Styela clava: one gene and its partner. The protein of the gene in region 1 purifies or fractionates together with the protein of each later gene. This does not show direct contact. Links are inferred from orthologs where the notes say so. Each region holds a gene or a part of one and is shown on either strand. Other genes may lie near its edges.

Evidence for each region.
Region 2: the proteins of AP-2 complex subunit alpha-2-like (region 1) and protein numb homolog purify together in Drosophila melanogaster (affinity purification with western blotting; 5 studies listed by BioGRID). This does not show direct contact. The link is inferred for Styela clava from reciprocal best matches to the Drosophila melanogaster genes AP-2alpha and numb.

Annotation. Positions count from the first base shown.
Region 1 is NC_135264.1:18,528,309-18,538,851, forward strand, and holds the start of AP-2 complex subunit alpha-2-like, read left to right. Parts: upstream 1-5,584; 5' UTR 5,585-5,667; coding exon 5,668-5,734; intron 5,735-6,455; coding exon 6,456-6,524; intron 6,525-9,145; coding exon 9,146-9,288; intron 9,289-9,517; coding exon 9,518-9,589; intron 9,590-10,173; coding exon 10,174-10,295; intron 10,296-10,543. Other genes in the region: programmed cell death protein 6-like, read left to right, coding at 1-376, 1,388-1,592. UniProt on the Drosophila melanogaster protein: Adaptins are components of the adapter complexes which link clathrin to receptors in coated vesicles. Clathrin-associated protein complexes are believed to interact with the cytoplasmic tails of membrane proteins, leading to their selection and concentration.
Region 2 is NC_135258.1:8,270,600-8,281,658, forward strand, and holds the start of protein numb homolog, read right to left. Parts: upstream 5,254-11,059; 5' UTR 5,093-5,253; coding exon 4,964-5,092; intron 3,565-4,963; coding exon 3,490-3,564; intron 8-3,489; coding exon 1-7.

The DNA of each region.
Region 1 (10,543 bases):
AGAACTATCACCCCCAGCAAGGTTACCAAGCACCTGGTGGTTATGGCCAACCTCCCCCTCACCAACAAATCCCTGGAGTTGATTTATGGGGAATTTTCACTCGTGTAGATCGAGATAGGAGCGGTCAGATCTCGACAAGAGAGCTTCAAGAAGCTTTGTCTAACGGAACTTGGCAGCCATTCAACCCCGAGACAGTTCGGTTGATGATTGGAATGTTCGACACTGACCACAGCGGTTCAATTAATTTTCAAGAGTTTGCAGGATTGTGGAAATACGTCACAGATTGGCAGAATACGTTTAAAAGTTACGATCGAGATAATTCTGGATCGATTGATAAAAGGGAATTACAAACTGCATTGACTTCGTTTGGATACAGGTAAGTCGAGATTGAGTGTTTCATTGCAAATTACTGGTTTGGCCGGGAACAGAGGGTAGGGTGGTGGGGTCTGGTATAGTTTAGTACCACATCCACTTTTAGTTGGCCTGGCTCAACAATTTTTGCATATGTCAATCCTAACCCCCACCTGACTACGTCACCGAAAAATTATGTCATTCCGACGTCACAGTGGCATAATAAGGCTCACCGAAGTATGCGGATGGTCGTACAAAACGCGCAGACGATAACCCGAAATCGAGCAAGCTATTTTTCTTGTTGCAACGATCACGATAGGAGAGAGATTGTCGGCTTTAGCAAGTTCTTATCGGCGGCGCAGATGCCATTTCGGGCGATCGTAATTATACTTTGGCAATCCCTATGACGTGATGGTGACGTCGTAGTGACGTAATTTTTGTTTGGCATAGTCAGGTGAGGGTTAGGAATAACATATGCTAAAAACGTTTTGCTACGCCCACTGGAAGTACTTGTGGTACTAAACTATACTAGACCCGGGTGGTGCAGCCAGTCTGCGAACCCCTATAAAAAATAAACTAATATTTCTAATCAGTTAACTCGTCTAAATATAAACAAAGCACCGCATCGTTTAACTTATGATTTTGACTTCCAGTCTCCATGACAGCTGTTTGAAAATAATAATAAAGAAATACATCTGGTTTTGTATGGCATTTGTTATTGCTTGGTATGGCAAATATCTGTGGTGATTATGTAGGTTAAATACAAGATTATTATTTTCAAACAAATCCTAAGGCGACAGAATCATAACTCGAATTGTCTCACGGTAGGATGACGAACCTGTGAACCACTGATAAGAGCAGATGGTTATTAGATGTAACGCAGTAAATATTTGGGCCCAGGACTAGAGAGTCGGAATCAGACTTTGATTGAATTGAAGTCAAGCCGGGGTTGTTTTTTTATAAATTCCCTTGAGACAAATGAGACAAAAGTTTTGGCATCCAAATTTTAGGCTTCTAATTCTGATTTTCATTCCAGATTGTCGGATAGATTCTACGACCTGTTGGTCAGAAAGTTTGATCGTCAGGGCCGAGGAACGATTGCATTCGATGATTTCATCCAGTGCTGCGTCGTTCTGCAAACTTTAACAAAGTCCTTCAGTGCTAAAGATACCAGCAGAAACGGGATGATTCAAGTATCGTACGAAGAATTTCTCTCCATGGTGTTCAGTGTTAGGTCATAACTCAAAACCTTTAATTGATATGTATCCACCTATTATTGTATTAGTTTACCGAATGTCCAATTTCTGGGAATCCTAGTTCTTCTTAATTCGAGAAAATATTATTTTCATTTCTGTGATGAATAATTATATTGAGGACATTGATTCAATACTGCAGGTTTATTCAACAAGACAATCAGACAGGTGTTTCACGCCGTATTATTCGCCTTTTCCATGTGGTGAAACCTGGCGACCCTTATTTTGAATACCTTGTTTGTTGGGGTTAGAAATAAATTGAACAGAATTCAAACTTTCATAAAATTTCACTCCGATTTGTCATGGTTCTCAAACTTTCATGCCCTTCTGAAGTCTTCAACACTTTTCCAACTCTCACAAAAATAACAAGTTTGGTTTTTAATAACATGTTTTCATTGACCATGTTACCCATGTATAATAATAAAAAAAACAAGAACTGCATCACAGGCAATTTACTTCAAATGAATGTATTGCTAATGATATCTGATTAGCGGTTCTACTCTCTGGGCCCCTAGGGTCGATGGCCTAGTTTGAGAAACCATGCCATGGACTTTATTTATCTGAAAAAGAACATTTATGAAAGTTGGTTTTTAACATTTCCATTCAATTCATTATGCAGTGGAATTGTTAGATTTTTAGAGAAACATTTTGATGTGAATGTTTATTCATCCAAGTCTAAATTATTGCAAATTTATTCGGTACAATGTTATGTATTTATATTCACTTCATAGTGAGTTCATGTAGCCTTGCTTTGAACAAACATCAAAGACCATGTGTCAGAAATGAATAACTGGTTGTAATAATAATGTTCACGTACACAACATGGACTTGGAATGGGACGAGAGGCCCCAGTTATCAATATGTCTTATAGGCTTTTCTCTCCCCTCGATTTGAAATCTTATACTTCTTATTCTAAATATTCATGGAAGAGATTATTGCGCTCTTCTAAAATAGTGCTCTGATTTTTTTATTGAATGATACATACATTTGCTTTGATGTGATGAAATAACCAGTTTTTGTGACATAACTCGTTAATAATTGGTATTTAAATTAAATTTAGAGCTCTGTATTGCGTGGAGCATTAAATACCTGGCACTGACCAAGAGAATTATGATCAAAGAATTTTCCTATCCGACTTTGATAAAATGTTATGTTGAGTCACAATACATATTTGTATCCTGCTTTATGATGTAATATTAGATATTTGAATCTTGGGAAGGAAATTGTAATCTGGGAATTGAATTAATATTTGCATTCTTACATATCTTGTTGTGTATTGTTGATCACTTGTTTTCTATTCATTCAATTATTGTGATGAGCCCAGCTAGCGCAGTTTTCATGAGTAGAAACGCAGTGCTGATGCTTTATTCTTGTTACCAATGTTCCTGATCCAGATTTTTCATATTGCATTTGAGATACTTGTGCAAATTGTGCCTGCAGTAAATGCTCATTGCTAATAAATGTTTCCTCATTTCCTAACCCAAGAAAAATCTCCCTACACTCAATCGTGGCAGAATTGTCTGTTCTTGTTTTCGTGAATTGGACATCTGACTTTCGTTTTATAAATATCCATTTTATATTAGAATATTTGAGCTTTCATAATGAATTGAGCAGAGAATTCTATGCTCAGAGAAACATACATCTCTTACAGGGAACACGTTATTTTTTTTCCCGAAGGCATGTACCGGTATGTTGTAAATAGGGCTGGCAATTTCAAAATGTGTGATGATCACAAGTATCCAAAAGTATATTCGTTTACTGAATGCCTGCAATTTGGAAAGTTTTTATTTATGTAATTACTGTATCTTTGTTAAATTTGCTAGTTTGGCCATAAGTGAAATTCATGTCATGTTATGCTCTTTCTAGCATTTCTGGTCATGTCGAATAAACATTTTATCTGGACTCATTATATCTTTGCATAGAATTCAGTTTTTTAGAGTGCCTAGATTTGGTAGAGCTGGTATCACAATTTATACTGAAAATATTAATAATAAGAAACTATTTTTTTCATAATTCTTCGAATTAATGTATAATATGATTAACTTAGACTAAATGGAAAGTAGTGAGAGTGAAGATTTGAATCTGCCAATTGATTTTTGGAGATTATTACATAAACAAAAGGATTACTCAAGCGGAAATAATGCAGAGGTGGAAATCAGTAATAAATTGAAAGGATTATCTGATCAGCAAGGGTGTGGGAATTACTCATCTGTAAATATTGCAGAGTTGGAAATAAAACAAAATTCTAAGGATTGTGTTGAATATTGTTCAAATGCTACGAGAGTTTTCAAAAGAAAGAGAAGGCCTAAGAAAGGTCCAATAGTCTATTCCGACTCTGATAGTGATGATGATACAAAACATATTGAACAATCTCGTAAACTGTCAAAATATGAAAACGCAAAAATACATGGCTCTTCAATGACCACTAGTGTTGGTTGTGTCGCATCAAGTAACGATAAACATGGAAGCTTTTTAAAAAAGGGCGATTCTGAACCCACTGCTTCAATAAATAAAAATGCAGTGAAGCCAGATACCGTTGCTAAGGGCAACAAGATGTCTGGTGGAGGCAACAGAAGAAAACGAAAACAGGATAAACTTGCAATGAATTTGGATGGTAATCTTACAGAAAAACAGTTTGACGATGAAACAAAGATTTGTAAACAAAGTGACAATGAAGACACCTCAAATATAACTCGATGTGATGTGAAGACATCAGAGAACACAAATTTTCTGGCTGAGAAACGCTCACTGAAGCACAGCAAAACATCCAAAGTCCCAAATGAAAAACTTGTTAAATCGAGATTGTCAAATGAGAAAGATTCCTCTGATGAAGAACTCGATGCCTCAGAAATGGAGAAAAGGTTTAACATGGATCGGAATAAGTCTAAAATATCTCGGTCTCGATTCGGCTCCCTGAGGAGGAAAAACTATAAATTTGCGCCGATAATATTTTCAGATGAAAACGAGGAAATTGTTATTGAAGGTAAAAGGTCAGTGAAGGTCGTGGAAAACCAAAACCTTGATATTTGTGGAAAAAATGTGAATCTGACTTGTATAGAGAAACCTGGGTCTAATATTAAACCAGTTACTAGTAACGTCACTACTATAGAGTCTGGTGAACAGCCAGGACCCAACATCGATGACCTATTTTCTGTGTCAAATAATGTAAGAAAGTTGGGCTCTGATAATGCAAAGCATTCCCCAGGGAAGAAATTACTCAGAAATGGAACAGATGGTCATAATTCGTCAAATCAGATAATCAATGGCACATATACTCGAGATAACTATTCGGCTAATAATAGAAGTAACCAGCTCACTAATACTGATACTATCGTGTCACCATCAAGTCCATGCAGCGATTCTAAAACTGGTCGGGCCCTTTCTCAAATGAGTGATTTATTTTTCAATGATGATGATTGTAAAATTAAACCAGCCCCTGGGAAACAAAAATCAGGCAACACTGATTCTAAATCTCATGCTCGTATTGCACAATCTTTGTCTAATATTTCACAATCTAATACAACTATTGCACAATCATCTGGGGGTCATGAAGTCACCTTATTTGATGATGATTTATGGAGTTCGCCAAGAAAATAAGCAGGGCAGAATCAAGAAATGTAAGCTTTTATGTCACACTTACATGGTCCCTGGCCGACCTCTGTTCTAACAGCCAAACCTGAGAAAGCACGCAATGCAATACTTGAAAATAAAACCAAAACAGCCACAGCTTTGAAATCCAAAAGATTGCCCCCAGTCCATATTGATGGAGGACAAAAAAGTCTATTTCTGGTAAATTTGACCCTGAAGCTTACAGCGGGGATATTTATTGTATCATATATTTTAATACTTTTTTGCTTTTTATGTAAACCCACTGTGATATTATCATTTACGGTTGAATTGTTTCAAATCAATTAACTTTTCTGTTTTCAAACCATTATGACCTCATTTTAAATTGAATTTTCACAAATTTGCAATGTTTCAAATTAAAATTTCCATTATTTTTCAAATAGTATTTTTCAGAAAATTTTTGTTGCTAGGCTATAATAAGTCTCAAATCAGCAAAATGCCGGCCGTTTCCCGTGGTGATGGAATGAGGGGCTTGTCAGTCTTTATAGCTGATATTAGAAACTGTAAGTTTTTGATTTTACTATAAATTGATTTAAAATTGTTTGCTCTGAGGCTTTCTTACCTTAGAGCAGGGGTCACCAACCTTTATGGAGCTGCGGGCTACTTTTTTGGTACCGACTAAGCTAAAATCACTCTACTGAAAAGCCAATTTGATATTAATGGTATTTAGCGAAGGAGACACTGATAATGTTTATTATTCATGAAACTATCAATAGTAGGTGTCCTATCAAAGGTTTTTTTTTTACCAACACATTTAACAAATCATGAATATCATATTTTCAACCAAGACCAAATCTGGTGTATTCCTCCTCAGTATGTGGGAAATCTGGTATTGCATCTCCACCCTTGTGTTGTACTCCGGTTTGCAAAGGTTAGAAATGAACGACACACATGGCTCCAGCTGATCTATTGTGTGTGATGTCATAATTGGAATGACATGTGACATTACCGATGTCACATATAGAAAAGGTTGACCGTTACAATAATTATTAATTATTATATTGTCATTTCCATTTCTCATATAGGGTTTGAACAAGAATAGCAAGAATAAAATTAATAGATGTAGCTTACTGATGAGCGCCGTTATTTGAGTTATTTCAAAACAGACCTGCGGGTGACTCATATGGTGCGTGGGGTCAACGGGTTGGTGACCCCTGCCTTAGAGTGAGTTCATGTAGCGTGTTTTAGATTTCATTGAGTTGACCAAACTATTCTTATTTCCAGGTAAAAGCAAGGAAGCAGAGAGTAAAAGAATAAACAAAGAATTAGCAAATATAAGGTCAAAGTTCAAAGGTGAGAGTTGAAATATTTTAATAGAAAACACAAGAATTAATTCCCATTTATGCTTCATTATCTCGCTGTTTTTGTGTTAGCTATTCTTTCCTGTAGCAGTGAAACATGGCTAGTCTGCCCTCTTTACTATTTCCTGTACAAGATGGCTATGATTTCACAGCAGGTTCTGTTCGTAGTAATGCTTGGTTCTTATTGGTTCCAACTGTGCTTCCTAGCTTGTCCTACTATATAGTTTAAGATGGCATTGCTATGATACCATAGCAAGTTATTAAAGAACTAGGTATGCTCTCATTTTTAATTTGCGGTTTTGGGATTCCATCGAATTTGGTTTTCTAACTAATGATACATTCGAAGTAATATTCTATAATGACTCATCAAATACCGATACCTCATTATTAATATGGAAAACAAATCGAATAAACTTTGAATAATTTGTTAATTTATGAATTGCTAAAAACAAATTGTTTGGCTCTATGTCATTGAGTTACCGACTTGTACTCCTGAACAAATAGGAAGCACTTTGTGCCGGTGATTGTTTTGTTTGTTTATTATAATTGGTTGTTTCCTGAGTTGAGACTTATAGTAGGTCCCAGTACCAGGCATGATGTTTCCTTTCAAACTGGTTTGGTATTTTAGTGGAAGGGCTTTTTGATTCATATCAAGCTGACATGTTTCAATACCCAGGAAATGCTTTATCAAAGCTATAATGTTACACATGAAAATTTGTGGTCAAGCTGACCTGATGAACCCTGCTGAGCGTATTTGGGAAAAGGATCAATGTGAAACAATATCACAGCAGAGGCAATTATCAGCAACTATTTTCGATTTTCAGAACACTTTTTATGAACAAAATTAAGTCTATTTTTAAAAATCCCCAAAATCTAAAAAAATATTATTTAATACCAACCTATTGAAATATTGGAACATCAGCTATGCAGGCGTCTTACTATTGGTTCGAATTCAAAATTGATCAAAATATTGAAGATCAATATCCAGGCTGTTGCTTGATGGATCAATACTGAAGTCAATTAATATCAAACAGGGTCGCAAAATGTTCAACTGAATTCAAAAATATTTTGTTTATAAATGCAATAAAGTTTCACTACATTTGAAACTCTGAACAGAATTTGTATGAATATGTTTTTTATGTGAAATCGGCCCAAAACATGTTATTAAGATTTGGTTGAGCAGCTGAAATCAATCATGCTCAGACAATTTGTATTTCATTCACATTGTGCCTCCTGCTAAATCATGACACTTGTCTAATTGTGGCAGCTAAGGAGACACTTAATGTCAATATAAGCATCCACTCTGTCATATTTTGTCTGCTCGGATGTATCGAAAAACAATTGTTCCTATGTTTGTTTTATTCCTCCCTTGGCCTGTTCAGACCTGCTCTTTATTCACCCTATTCTATGTGTAAAGGCTTCAATAATCTTAAATGAGTCCAATGTTGTACGCAATTCGCACTCCTGCCCAGTCCACATCTGAGTTTCCTAAACTTTTTGGGCCGCGGACCCCTATTTGAGAATCTTAGTTTTGACGAACCCCCATCCATGGTAATGTTTCATTTACAACACAACAACGCAAACGACATTAACAAATTATGACAAGCATACTCGTAGAATCGACTCTACGACAAGTCTCAACCTGTATTTTATCATCATATTGTTAAGAGGTGAAAATGCTGCCTCACGCATGTAGGTCGTTACAAAAGGCAATAAAATTTTAATTGCCTTTTCTGATAGCAGTGGATATTCGTCCGCAACGCTCAACTAAAAATATTCAATTGGTCTTTGATTAAAATCAATCATGATATATCGATCAGAACTTTTTTCATATCGTTGCGGACCCACTGTGCAGTTGTCATGGACCCCCAAGAGGGCCCCAGTTTGGGAAACCCTGGTTTGAATGGTTTATAGCCAGGGATTCCATCCATCTGGAACACAAAAAAAGGACGACTGGAAAAATTTCTGCATTGTGAGCAGAAATAGCTGGCTTTCCAATGGCCTCCAGGTTAATGTCACAATTACAGACGCCACAGTGTGCGAAGCACTTACCCTTCAAGCTTCGTTTAACTTTGAACTCTTTCTCGTACTCGAAAAACGTTTTTACATTTGCTCATATTTAAATTTAAGCTAAAATAACCACCACCACGACGAAACTCAAGGATCGCCACACTAGTAATGCTTCATGCCTATCTGTGCCTTGCTTCTTTGTGTTCCAAATAAGATTGTGTTGTTTTTACGATGCCGCAATAAAGCCTTGGCGATAAGATCAACAACAACAAAGCTTTTAATATGAAGTCCAAATAAGACCAAATAAGGACCCGCAAGCCAAAAATGCGGACGCAAGCTAAAAATAAGCCAAAAATAAGGACAAACCTTAGAAAAAAGGACGGTATGGAATCCCTGTTTATAGCGGATGCATAAATGAGTATTACTCAAGAACTAAACAATATTAGTGAAACTGCAACCATTTGCAAAGCAATATTCCCGCTCAAAAGCATCACAGAAAGGCGGTGGTAAAGCTTCTCTTCTGATTTACTCTCGGCGTTATGTATGGTCGGTTCATTAGAGCTTGGAATGATAGCGATCTTAAAAGATAAATATTCATTGCAGGAGACAAGACATTGGATGGATACAGCAAGAAGAAATATGTCTGCAAACTCTTGTTCATATTCCTGCTGGGTCACGACATTGACTTTGGACATATGGAAGCCGTCAACCTTCTCAGTTCAAACAAGTACACTGAGAAGCAGATTGTGAGTTTTGGCTTCAAAGCAGGCACTTTAGCATAAGAAACTATAAATCTGTGTGATAACTTGCTTTAATTGCTAAACATGACTGCACCACCGCTATGTCATTGTCACATTGCTCTCCATCCAGCCATTGTGAGTGCTCAATGAATGACATCTGGTAGACCATTTTCATGTCTACAGCTCCCATTGCTAAGCCCGTATTTTACCAGGATAATAAGTGTTTTTTTTCCAGGGTTACCTGTTCATCTCTGTTCTGGTCAGTTCGAGCTCAGACTTGATCAAGTTGATCATCCAGAACATCAAGGTAAGAGGGTTTAAGACTTGTTGAACTGCAGGTCCTTTCTCCTTGTGTAGTTGTTTCCCTGCTTGAATAAGATAGCACCATTAGATTGAGACAATCTCTTTCCATGAAAGTCGATTTCGTTATTTCAAACAATATAACTTTATATATGAAGATCGTGATGATAAGTGCTATTCCATGGTAAGGCTGTCACTTAACTTGGCCTGGCGTGCCACAAACCATGATCGCATATGATAAAGTGACCCTACTTACTGAATTTTTATTTTAGACTTTGCTGGGAATTCCCATTTTAAAGGTTGACCCTAAAAATGGAATCCAAATCTTTTGGGGATTGTTTTAGAGAGAACAAAACTGTTGTGCAGATTTTGAATGTGCACAATCATACACAAATACTTTTTTCATAGAATTGATCAGAAAAGTTATGTTTTTTTTGAGGTCTCTGTTGTACTCCCTAGTTCAGCTCCCTACCTAGCTCTTATTTAACCCCTTTGCTATCTTTCAGAATAAAGTCGTTAGTATTTTTCATTTTATTTATCCCTTTGACAACTTTCACGATGATCTTCTTTAGTCCTTCCATTACCTTTCAGAACGATATTTCATCACCAAACCCAATCCATGTTAACCTTGCTCTCCACTGCATCGCCAACATCGGATCCCAAGATATGGCCGAAGCCTTTGCTCCTGAAATCCCGAAACTGCTCGTCTCACCGTAAGTTATTGTTTATACATTGCTCATTCATTTCTTGCGCTTTGAACAAGGCCATGTACCATATAGCCGCTGATTAAAATAAAACAAACTTGAGATATACTTAGAACTGACTTCATAATATTTCAGTTGTCAGGGATAACTTTGTTCAGATAGAGTCATTTTTAATCAGGTGACCTAGCTTTGAGCAAAATCATTCCAACCACGACTAGTGGACCCTTTGGCCCAGGAGAAGCTCTGTAAAACCCTAG
Region 2 (11,059 bases), on another chromosome or scaffold:
TCAGATCCTGTTTCGTTGAAATTAATAAAAAAAATGAATCAAAACAAAGATTTTCACAACAATTCGACAAATACAAACAATATTATGAATTGAAATAACAATAAAAGTTGATTGCAAAGTTATGATCATATGAAACAAAAGTGAATCAAATGATTACAATAAAGAACATATTACCGTACATAACTAACAAAAGTGACAAATGACAAATCTATTCATTGTGATTTCAACAATGTTTACTTACAATTAGGCAAGTCCAGAAATTTTCTTAAAAACAAGGTCAGAGCCTGCTTAAATGATCAACTTTATTTCGTCGATTCGTATTATGCCAACTCGAACGTAAAAAAATGATTTTGAAAATTTATATTTATCTAAATATTAAAAAATTAAATCCAAATTTCTTTCAAAAAGAATTATGTAAGGACATTCCTAGTTATACAGAAGATGATCGAGCACATCACACAAACACATAAACACTCAAAAAAATCACAACATTTTCACAAAAAAATGTATTCAAATATTATAGTCAACCGCAATTTCTGTCATATTTTTTATTCTGATACGGGTGATAATACATCATACCGACGGCATTACGATTCATAAAAAGTTTTTTTTTACTTTGGAATAATAGATATTTCTTTAGCAGTTCTAACGCATCTTATTATTTAATAAATTAAATAACTTTCAAAATCCAACTGGAATTTGAATTACAATCATGAAAGCTAACTTTATAATTATATTGTATAACTTTGCAAGTAGCATTAATTTCGTATCTTCGGTATAAAAGCCTTTTAAGCCTTGAATTGTTTTACCACCCATACTTCAAACAACTCAAATTGATGTCAGAAGCAGCGGAGCTTTGTTTACTTTTTGATTAATGTTCTTTAATCCATGTCCCCGTTGGCATTCAACCATGAAAACGAAACTGTATTGAACTAATCAAGTAAATAACCACAAAATAGGCTTTAAAAGCTGTCAAGTGGATCGAGTAATACTTTATAACTTTTCACAAATTGAAATTGAAATGTCAAGTTGGTTTTATACCAAATATACTAATATACCAAACGTTTCTATTAACAGTAACAATTATCAATATTAAAATTCAGCATATAAATTTTATTTAAAGTTTTTTCCATATAAAAATTCTACAGCAAATACAAAATGGTTAGTTTAGGTTTTATTTCTGGGAAATTAGCCTAAAATTGTTGAAATGCTTGGAGCATACTTTTGGTGGTTTCAGTTCTCAAAAGACTGCTATTATAAAATAAATTACAATCAATTTCTGTAATTTAAAACCACAGAAAAGAGAAGTCGATAATTATAAATAGGTAGAAATTTCACACACGTTCACCTCATTCATAAAAACGTGTATACTGTAGTATGAAATGACTATCTCATTAAGAACAGTAAAAGCAACAATCTACCGGTATATTATTTTATCTCGGAAGTTGATAAAAATATGAAATTTGAATAAATAAAAAGAAGTTTTTTTGGGCAGACAGCATGGAATACTATTCAGTATCATCAGTCATCACATTATTAAAAGACAATTTAAATTAAAAATGTTTAATCTTTTTCATATAGTGCCTATTACCTATAAATGTTTTTTCCTGAATTTCATTATATTATTATAATGATGGCAATGGTACATGTATTACTTTAATAAAGTCAAAAAATGTCTAAATCAGATGTTTTAATTCTGATTAAAGCTAAAAAAAAATTAGCTTGCTGTCTGCATAAAGATACAATTTGGATATGCAGGCAGTAGTTTGTGACATATTAACTTTATAACACGATGCTAAATTATATCATAAAACAAGAATGCTTAAATCAATAAATGATGTGACATCATTCCCCTGGCAAATTTACTCAGTGTAAATCAAAGAGGCAACTAGGGTTGAATTTGTGTAACCCTACATATAGTATTAGTCCAATAAATTAGAATAATATTTCTTACAATCTGATCAAAAAGATATTCGACGAAAAGTAAATTTTTACGAAATGCTACATAGTGAAGATACAAAATAAAATTTGGCGTATATCGATTATCATGTGTTTCTATTTGAAATATGCTGATTTGGGATACATGTAATATGATGAACAGTGGTAAAAAGGTAAAGAATATTACAGATTCTGAAATGTACATTTACATATCCTTCCAAAAACACCAAGTAAATTAAAATTCATAAATGGCACACACAGGTGGCCAAAACCAAATGATCTACTATTCAAATCCATTTATTAAAATAATATTTTTACATATTAGCATACCGAATACATTTTAAATATTCAACCAATAAACAAAAAAGTCAATACATGCATACTTAATGAGTTTGTTTTGGAAATACAGGGGAATAGTAGATAAACAGTAATTTGAATTTGTTTGATTTGAATTATTAAAAATCATAATATGCAGGCCTTTTTGGTCCATCTGTGAGACCCCTATTACGTCGAAATGAATTAACGATTTTAAATTACTGGACATTACTGGGTACATTTGAAAATTAAAAATTTATATGTTTCATTAACTTAATCATACTTATATTAAGTCACCAACACTTGGATGGGGAATAGTCGATAATACACATAATTCCATCAGTCAAGGGAATAATTATTTACAAACTTAAGAGCTTTAATAAGTTCGTGCACTGGGGAATCTTATCCTGAACATAGCTTCATTATCAATCAATAGGAGAGCTCATTTGTATGTAAAGCACGGTTTAATTATGCTTTTTCCAGTGGGATATGTTTGAAACTAAGCCAAAGGTCACAAAACAGATTTTCTATGTTATGCTTGTTATAATGTCGTAAAAATATTATGCATGAACCCACAATATCATGATTGCTTTGATTACGCCAGAAGCATTCAATTGCCCGAGGAAAAATTCTTATCGCATCCTGAATCTATAGGAAAACGTCTTTGAATTAGAAAGGAAAAATAAACAAACAATAAAGAATTAACGTCATAAGGATGATACATTAGCACCACAATGTTAAAACACAGGATAACCGCACTTCCGACTGTCTATATTTAATCCCGATATGAACCATTGTTTGAAGCACACTAAAATTTCATATTTGACATTGATAAATTGATATATACAGCTTGATTTGCCAACTAACATAAATTAACTGTCAGTTGTGTAACAAAAATACACAACCTAATTTGCAATAGACTCGTGATCTAATAAGCAATAATTGTATTATAAGTGCACAGGTAGGTATTTTGATGTTTAACCAGACAAACGGCATATGAATATGCTACACTCATTATATTGCAAAAATATCAATTTTTCATTATAATGATATTTGATAAAAAAAAAATCCAATTTTTTACTGAAGCTAATTGCAAACCTTCATTTGCCGTACAGAACTAACAACAAACATAAAAGAAACACAATTTATACTGATATATATCATAGCCACAAAATTTTTAACATGTACATGAACACTGATACAAAAATTAGCAAATGAAATTAAATAAAGTCTCACCGCTTTTAGACTTTTCACTGCTTGTTCACAAACTTGCATTCCTCTTGAGTCTTGAACCTCAATACATCCAAGATACTGAAGAGAGAAAAAAAAAAAAAAATAACCAGATGATGCAGATTTAGGAATTTTCGCTATTCATCTTTCATTTTCTATTTACTGCCCACTTTTCAATACATAACACTAAATAAATTATTATGCATCACTGTCCGGTAAAGTGTCTATAATCATCAGTTTCTTCCAATAAATCTTCTATTAAAAACCATCCACAATTTTAAATCACTGATTTGTTGATATTAAATATGCTGCTAGATAAATTTAACACAACTGATTAAAACAATTATGTGTGAATATAGATTTTGTATTTATGAGTAATTGACTGATATCAAGTATTACCAATTTGTCCCTAATAAAAAAAAGCTCATGCTGTTGTTTGATACAGACTAATTACAGATTTGAATAAAGGGACAAAACAAGTTTTTACCAAATAAAGTTGGAATATAGGTATAAAATAGAACAATTTTTCCTGTGTTGTTATTGTTTTTGTTTCGCATAATTTTAATCTTACAACAAATCACTGTCATATATTTTGTGCTGATCGAACTGTTTGGTGATGCTACAAGAGTGGTAGACCAAATTGTGGTAGAATACAATAGAGGCTGAAGTATCTCGATGACAATCGATGTTCGCATCATTGTGTAGACGTTATATATAGCTGATTTGGCATAGGTTCACACATTTTCATCTGGAAACAATTTGTTCGGTTGTTTGTTTACACACCATCTCACACATCGCACACATATCCACTATTCAGTTCACTATTTTGTTTGTAAATAATTTCAGGTAATTTGATTATGAAGTTAGAAGCCTGAATATTGACCAATCATTTGTATTGATGTTTATTTGTTTGTGTTTGTTGTGATTTGTTTTCTTTCTTCTTCGGTGAGTGAACGAACTCGTTTAATATGTTATAAATTTATTTTTAGGTTTTGTTCAATTTCCAGATTCTTCGCCTTTCTCTTTTTTGTGTATTGTTTTATTTTTTTGCGAATGAATCAAAATAAAATCTATCTATCTATAAAACTTGAAAATTTACCGTAGTTGTAATAAAATTTGAATGCAGTATATCAACAATGAAACGAACATCTATCAGTGTTACAATAAGCTATAAAATATATTATTTCAGGCTGACAAATCTACTAGGCAAGAGCTTCAACCCGAAAATAAAAAATTTGAAAAAAAAAGGTCATTAGAAAATGAAGAAAACATTCATTTTTTAATTTCAAACTCCTCTTTTCATTAAATACCTTTTTCTTTGAACTTTGATTAGAGCCAGCTTGAAACAGTAAAAAGCATTCACATTATTTCTTAGAATTTTTTTTAAAAAAATGTTTTTTTCTCTATTTTAACATTTGACGTTGTTTTCTTGAAACCCTTATATTAATACACACACATTCAGAAAGTTTATATTATCTACCTTAACATGAAATTTACAAGTTCCAGTCTGTACAGATTTTTCATCCTGTTGCCATTCAGGTGGTTGAGTACTTTCTGGAACTTTTGGTTTCTTCTTCCTTCGAAAACTATTCCGAATTGACCGCATCATAGTGATTTTTATAGTGTTTAAATAATTCCAATAGTACTGTAGTATAAGATATTTCCCTTACACGTTCAGCCTTTTTCAGACAATGGAGTCTTATTATCTATTTTTTATTTGGAAAACATGATAGGCTAGTTGAGCGACCAATGCTACAAAAATATAACATCAAAAATTTTAATCTACGAAGCATGAAATAAACTGACATTCAGACATTATACTGTTATAAGGATGGAAAATGAGTTGAATTCATGTATTTGATCATGTAATACAGTAATCCAACTTACTGACTTACGCTGGTTTATCTTTCTACAAAATTTACTCAAAGCATAAAAATGTTTATCTAGCTATCCAAATCACTAACTTCAGGACTTCATTTTTCAAAAGCAGACCAGAAGACAAATAGCCTAATGCAGAAATTTGCTGAAAATCAACTGTCAGATTGCTGGACTGTCGAAGCTGTCACTTTTACATTAAAACAACAACAAGAACAATATTATTCTGATTAGACTACTGGCTGACTGGTAGGGCTTAAGTCAGTAAGTTAATTCAGTAATTGTGCTCCCAGCTTTGCAACTTCAGTCTGAGTCTGTTAATGCAACATACGGTACCACCGTCAGACCGTACCGGTACCTGACTGTCAGAATATTGTCAGTTACGGTAGTATCCTACCGGTACCGGTACCGTACCGGGACCCCCTTTTTCGCCAAATAAATTCCAATGCCAAACGGAATTTTCGTATTAATATTTTGAATCAAATCATTTTATTTTAAATACATAGTTTTTGAGAGTTTCGGTACCGTACTGTAGTAATTTCAGAATCTTTTTCCATACGCGACCGCAGGGAGAACGAAGTGACGTCATTCCCATTTGTAGTTTGGATTTTTAGAATGCAAATTGCTGTCACATTGTGACGCCAGAGAGTAAAAAGTTTGGATAGAATTTCATATTTGTTTCGGCGGTCATGTATACTCTTTGGGGAAGTAAGCCAACTAGAAAGCTTAATCATATGACGAACCTTGAACCCTCGTCCGGTTACCAGCCAACTCCGAGTATTGGAATAGTTAGCCAGCGATTCGTTCCAGGCGCATGGACGATTGTCGAATACATTTTAGATTGCGAGGCACCATAATTGGTAGCATAAAATATAAATGACCGTTTATAATTTTATATTATATTCCTCCTTCCTCCACTTAACCAAATAGCTATCACGTCCCCCCCGCGACAGCTAAGCATCAAGCAACCTTTTCATGAATTTCTCATTTCTAATCCCATACAAAATCTCCACTCGAATTATACGTGCCAAATCCCACCTCCCAATCCTACGTGATCGTTCCCGGCATTTATAAACTTAAATCACCTCATATTACCAGTCTTAACTCTTCTGAACTTCTTATCTTCGACACTTTTTACAAAACTATCAAGACGACTGTCATTTTATTGGCGAACGTTTTACATACAACCTTTCGTGATTTATATGCGCAAAAGTAGGCTATTATAAACCAACAAATTTCGAGGGTTTTAACGTTAGAGAAACATCCAAGTTGGTTTAAAAAAGTGGAGCCATTATTGGACACGTAGTGGACATAACGATCGTTTCAATATTATGTTGTTGTTGTTCTTGTTATCCTTGTTGTTGTTCTTGTTCTTTGACACGTTTTTAAAAAGTCGCTTTTCTCTTCGAATACTGGACCAATTGCTTTGAAATTTTCAGTGGTTGAAGATAAAATTTTTCTCCAGAAGGCTATTACTTTTTTTTTCGCTATGACGTCATCAAAATTATTGCCATTGGGTGCCTACGTGTCCATATATTTGAGCATAGCTCTCTTGTTTCCCTTCACATCAGAAAGTATATATTTACAGGATGCCCATGAAGTGATAATTTCTTTTTAAATTGAAAGAGGAATTTATCGATATATCATATATTGTTTTGGCCCTCACAGATGTATTAAATCGTAAATATACACTATTAAATGAAGTAACTGATGAATAAAAAATAACAAACCTGGTTAAGATATATAGATATGTATTAAGAACTGAGTTCACAACAAAATTGAAATTGTAAAGTAACTTTATTTACACCCTGTATGCGGCTTTAAAAGTATTGATAACGTTGTGAGAAAATTCGAAATAAATTAACGTTTAAGCCAGGGGTAGGGAAGGTTTTTGGACTGGTGTCAAAAATTTCCCCACCTATACTAGCGGGCTAGTAAGTGTGACGTAGAAAGTTACATTCTATGCACAATATTCAAAAGCAAAAGTGGAAAACAATAAGCTTCGCGCAAATGTAATCACAATCTCAGCAAATTCCTTGCGCTATTTTGTAGCTAAAACATCAAAATTTGGTTTTAGTTTGGTTGTGGCAGCATCAGGCGGGCCAGATTGGATTACCCAACGGGCCGGATTTGGCCCGCGGGCTGTAGTATGCCCATTACTGTTATGCAAGAGTGACTTTCACCAATACACAAAACTTCGCGAGAAAACTGCGCGCAAAAATGCGATGGATGATGTAGTGGCCGTTCGCACATAGTTGGATCTCAGTTAGATATCGGGTCGAAGGACATGAGGCGTCGAATAGAAAATGGGATCTACTTGTATGTATAGATAATCTGCTCAAGAACACGCAGTGTGACTTTTTTAACCCAAATAAATAGCAATAAATAATTTTTCCTATCCACAATAATCTTTTCTGTGGAACCCAAGTTGGAGGCCACTGCCCAGGGCTGACACATTGAATTTGCAGTATAAGAATGACTTTATTATTATTCATTTCATCATTTTATTTCTTTTCGTAATATTGATGTTGTAAGTATATACGTATAAGGAAGCATAAGTGTGAATTTGTCCAAGAAGAAAGTGACTAGAATCTGAATGTAAAAAGGGATTTCATTTTTTTTTTTTACATAAATATATTTATTGGCAACTGACAAGCATTGTTGAGCTGTAATTATTAGTTTATTTATACATGAAATACACTTCGAGAGTACAGAATGTAAAAAGAAACAAAACTGTTATTTCAGGAGAGCGCAAGAAACCAATACTGGTTATCGAGCAGCGACACCCGTGATTGAGTCTAACAGAAACGAAAGTAAATTTACCTGAAATTTCTGAACTTCTGCTTCTAATATGTAAAAATGAATATGGATATGGAAAATGGATAATTTATTTCTTCATCATGCTGAAAATACGAACTTATTATTTCGTTACCGTCGTTTCATTCGGAATGGGGTGTTTCAAAAATGTCGTGTCCCACTTGTCCCAGAGCAAAGTGGGACACGACATTTACGACACACCGTGCGAGTAGATAATAGATTTGCGAGCCATATATTATTATTAGACATAGCATATTATTAGCTTATAATGTCAAAGTCAATTATTATAAATTCAAATTGATAGATATTTTCTAGGTAATATTTCTGTTCTTTTCTTTCTAAAGTTTGAACATTAATTAATAATCAAACATATTTGTTAAAATCGATCTAAATCCAATTGGTAAAATCGATTCAAATCTTCATGTAGAACATCACACTATTAAAAGCACAGGTGATCTGTAAATCAGTTCGAAAAGCAAAATGTTGATCATGATCATATTATTTAATGTTGAAAACAATTACATTCATTTTACGATAAGCGAAATGTGAGATTCTTTTGCAGTTTACGATTTCATCGAATAATGTGGAAGAATAAATGCAAGCATTCAAATATTTTAAAATCCGTCTCTCCGGATTTTCATTCTGTCTGTTCATTCTATCACCAAAATGAAGGTATAAAGATTGCTGTTCGAGGTACACACACAGCCTACCTAGACGCCAATGTAAGAAAGTGCAATTGTTTTTTATTTCCGTTTTATTGCTTATCAATTACCTCTATAACAAATGTAATATAATTTCATGCTTGCATTTAATATCTAGTTCCTAGTATACCCTAAAAACAGTATTCCTCTTTTATTTATATTTAAAATGAAGGTAGACTATATTCAATTAGACATAACGTGTGTATAGTAACTACTATTGACATAAGTGTTCGTGTCAGCTAAAGTTGGGAAACATGCCCTCCATGTCGCATCTGGGAGGTTTATTCCAATTCTAGAATTCAATTGGATCGTTTTCTGCTCGTGGGTCGTAATATGCTCCGGGATAAGCCTAGCCTCAAGTTTAGGCTATAACAGTAATTTTATAGTTATAATATATGCAAATTGCAGAAATATGCCAAAAGATAATCGAGGCTCGAAAACTTCAGGGAATATTGTCAACTTGGAACTTTGTTTTGCGGTTCATTGCGATCATTTTTTATACTCGATTTAAACAAGGATTATGATTTTATACAAAATATAACAAGGCCAGTGTTTGAATTTCAATAAGTGATGAAACAACCGAACAACAGAAAGCACCTGCTTCCCCTATTGAATCAATAGGTGAAAATATGTTCGTCGTTTGGTGTTGGCGCCTTGATGTTGCGCAAATCAAAGCAGTAGTTTTGTCTTTCAATGGAAATTAGATTACCGGCATCATAGTTCGTAATAACAGTAATATTCCGCCATAAACAATATCGTCAGAAGAAAAACGGTTTCATAATTTCACATGGGAGATGGACTTTTGCATATTACACTTACTCAAGCCTCTCGCTCCGAAAACTATGCAAACACCTACTGTTTCGCTGTGTTGTCAATATTTAGTACTGATTTGATAGAAACAGTGAAATCGCAAGCATAATCATGTATTTTACATACATATATGTGTGTTCATATATTTGATTTATGCTTCATTGTAGGATTTCAGTTCAAAATATTGCGTCTCTGGGAGTGAGACAGATTCCTGGGCTTGACTGTGCAAATGGAAGCGATTTTACGAGTTCACGGTGAGGTATTGCATCTTCTATCGCGCAAAGAGTTCATCCGTCTAAAAAGTCTTTTAGGCCGTCACAGGGGTACGCGGACTCGCTAGGTGAGTGGTAAGAATTTAATTCGAACCAGTCATCGCTTAACTGGGCTTGTAAGCTAGTGAGCTAAACATCATAAATTCCATAAAGTGGCTCGTGCCGTAACCAAACAGTGTTTGCGCGTGAAGTCATCATAAATTAGTCTATCTATAATCGTGGGTTGTTAATAAAATCGACTTTACGATTAAAGGATATTTCGGTTATTGCTGTAGTAAAGTGAAATTACAAAAGATTGCTTGGCAAGATTATTATGTAGCCTACTATTATGTCATTCGTAAATAATAATATTGTCAAGCAATCTTTTGTAATTCCACTTTACGTTCGAGACATGAATTCGACTTTTACTTTAGAATGTGGGGCGTGGTTTGAATATATTGCTCTACCTATTGTACGTTGAAACCTGGTAGCTGTTTTTACTCGTTGGAGATCGACCCAACCTGTGCGAAGTTGACAGAACGATTTGTTGAACACGCTGGGTTAGTCAAAGGGTTATTTTACATGACTATAACCACCTGATCATTTACTTATATTCAGAAATAAGATGGAATTTGAAATTTTTACGAACATTTCAAAAACCATGCGAAACATTGAATCCTGAAATTCATGATCACGTTTGCTGGTTGTCACGAAATCCCCAAATCCCCCACAGTTTACGTTACTACCAGGCTGTGTTGTCGGCGTCCGGTAGCTTTAATTTTCCAAACACACTAAGGCACTGTGAATAAGGCAATTCTCTTGAATCGTTCAAGTTTTTTCTAAACCCGAAGGGGTATATTGTAGGACTTGTATAAGACTTATTCCTTCCTTGTAAGTTGTATTGGGAGACGCTCATGAAGTTATTCCACAGCTATGAGAAAATTTTGGGATTAAATTGAAATTAAATAAAATTGACTTAGCGTTGCTCGATAACGGCTGTAAACACTACAAAGGCAATTTGATTAAAATGCTTGATTCTGGTTTATTACAGAAAGGCAGCGTCGTTCTTTCAGACAACGTTTCATAACCAGGTAACTGAGCGATTGCGGGGGTGTTTTGTTT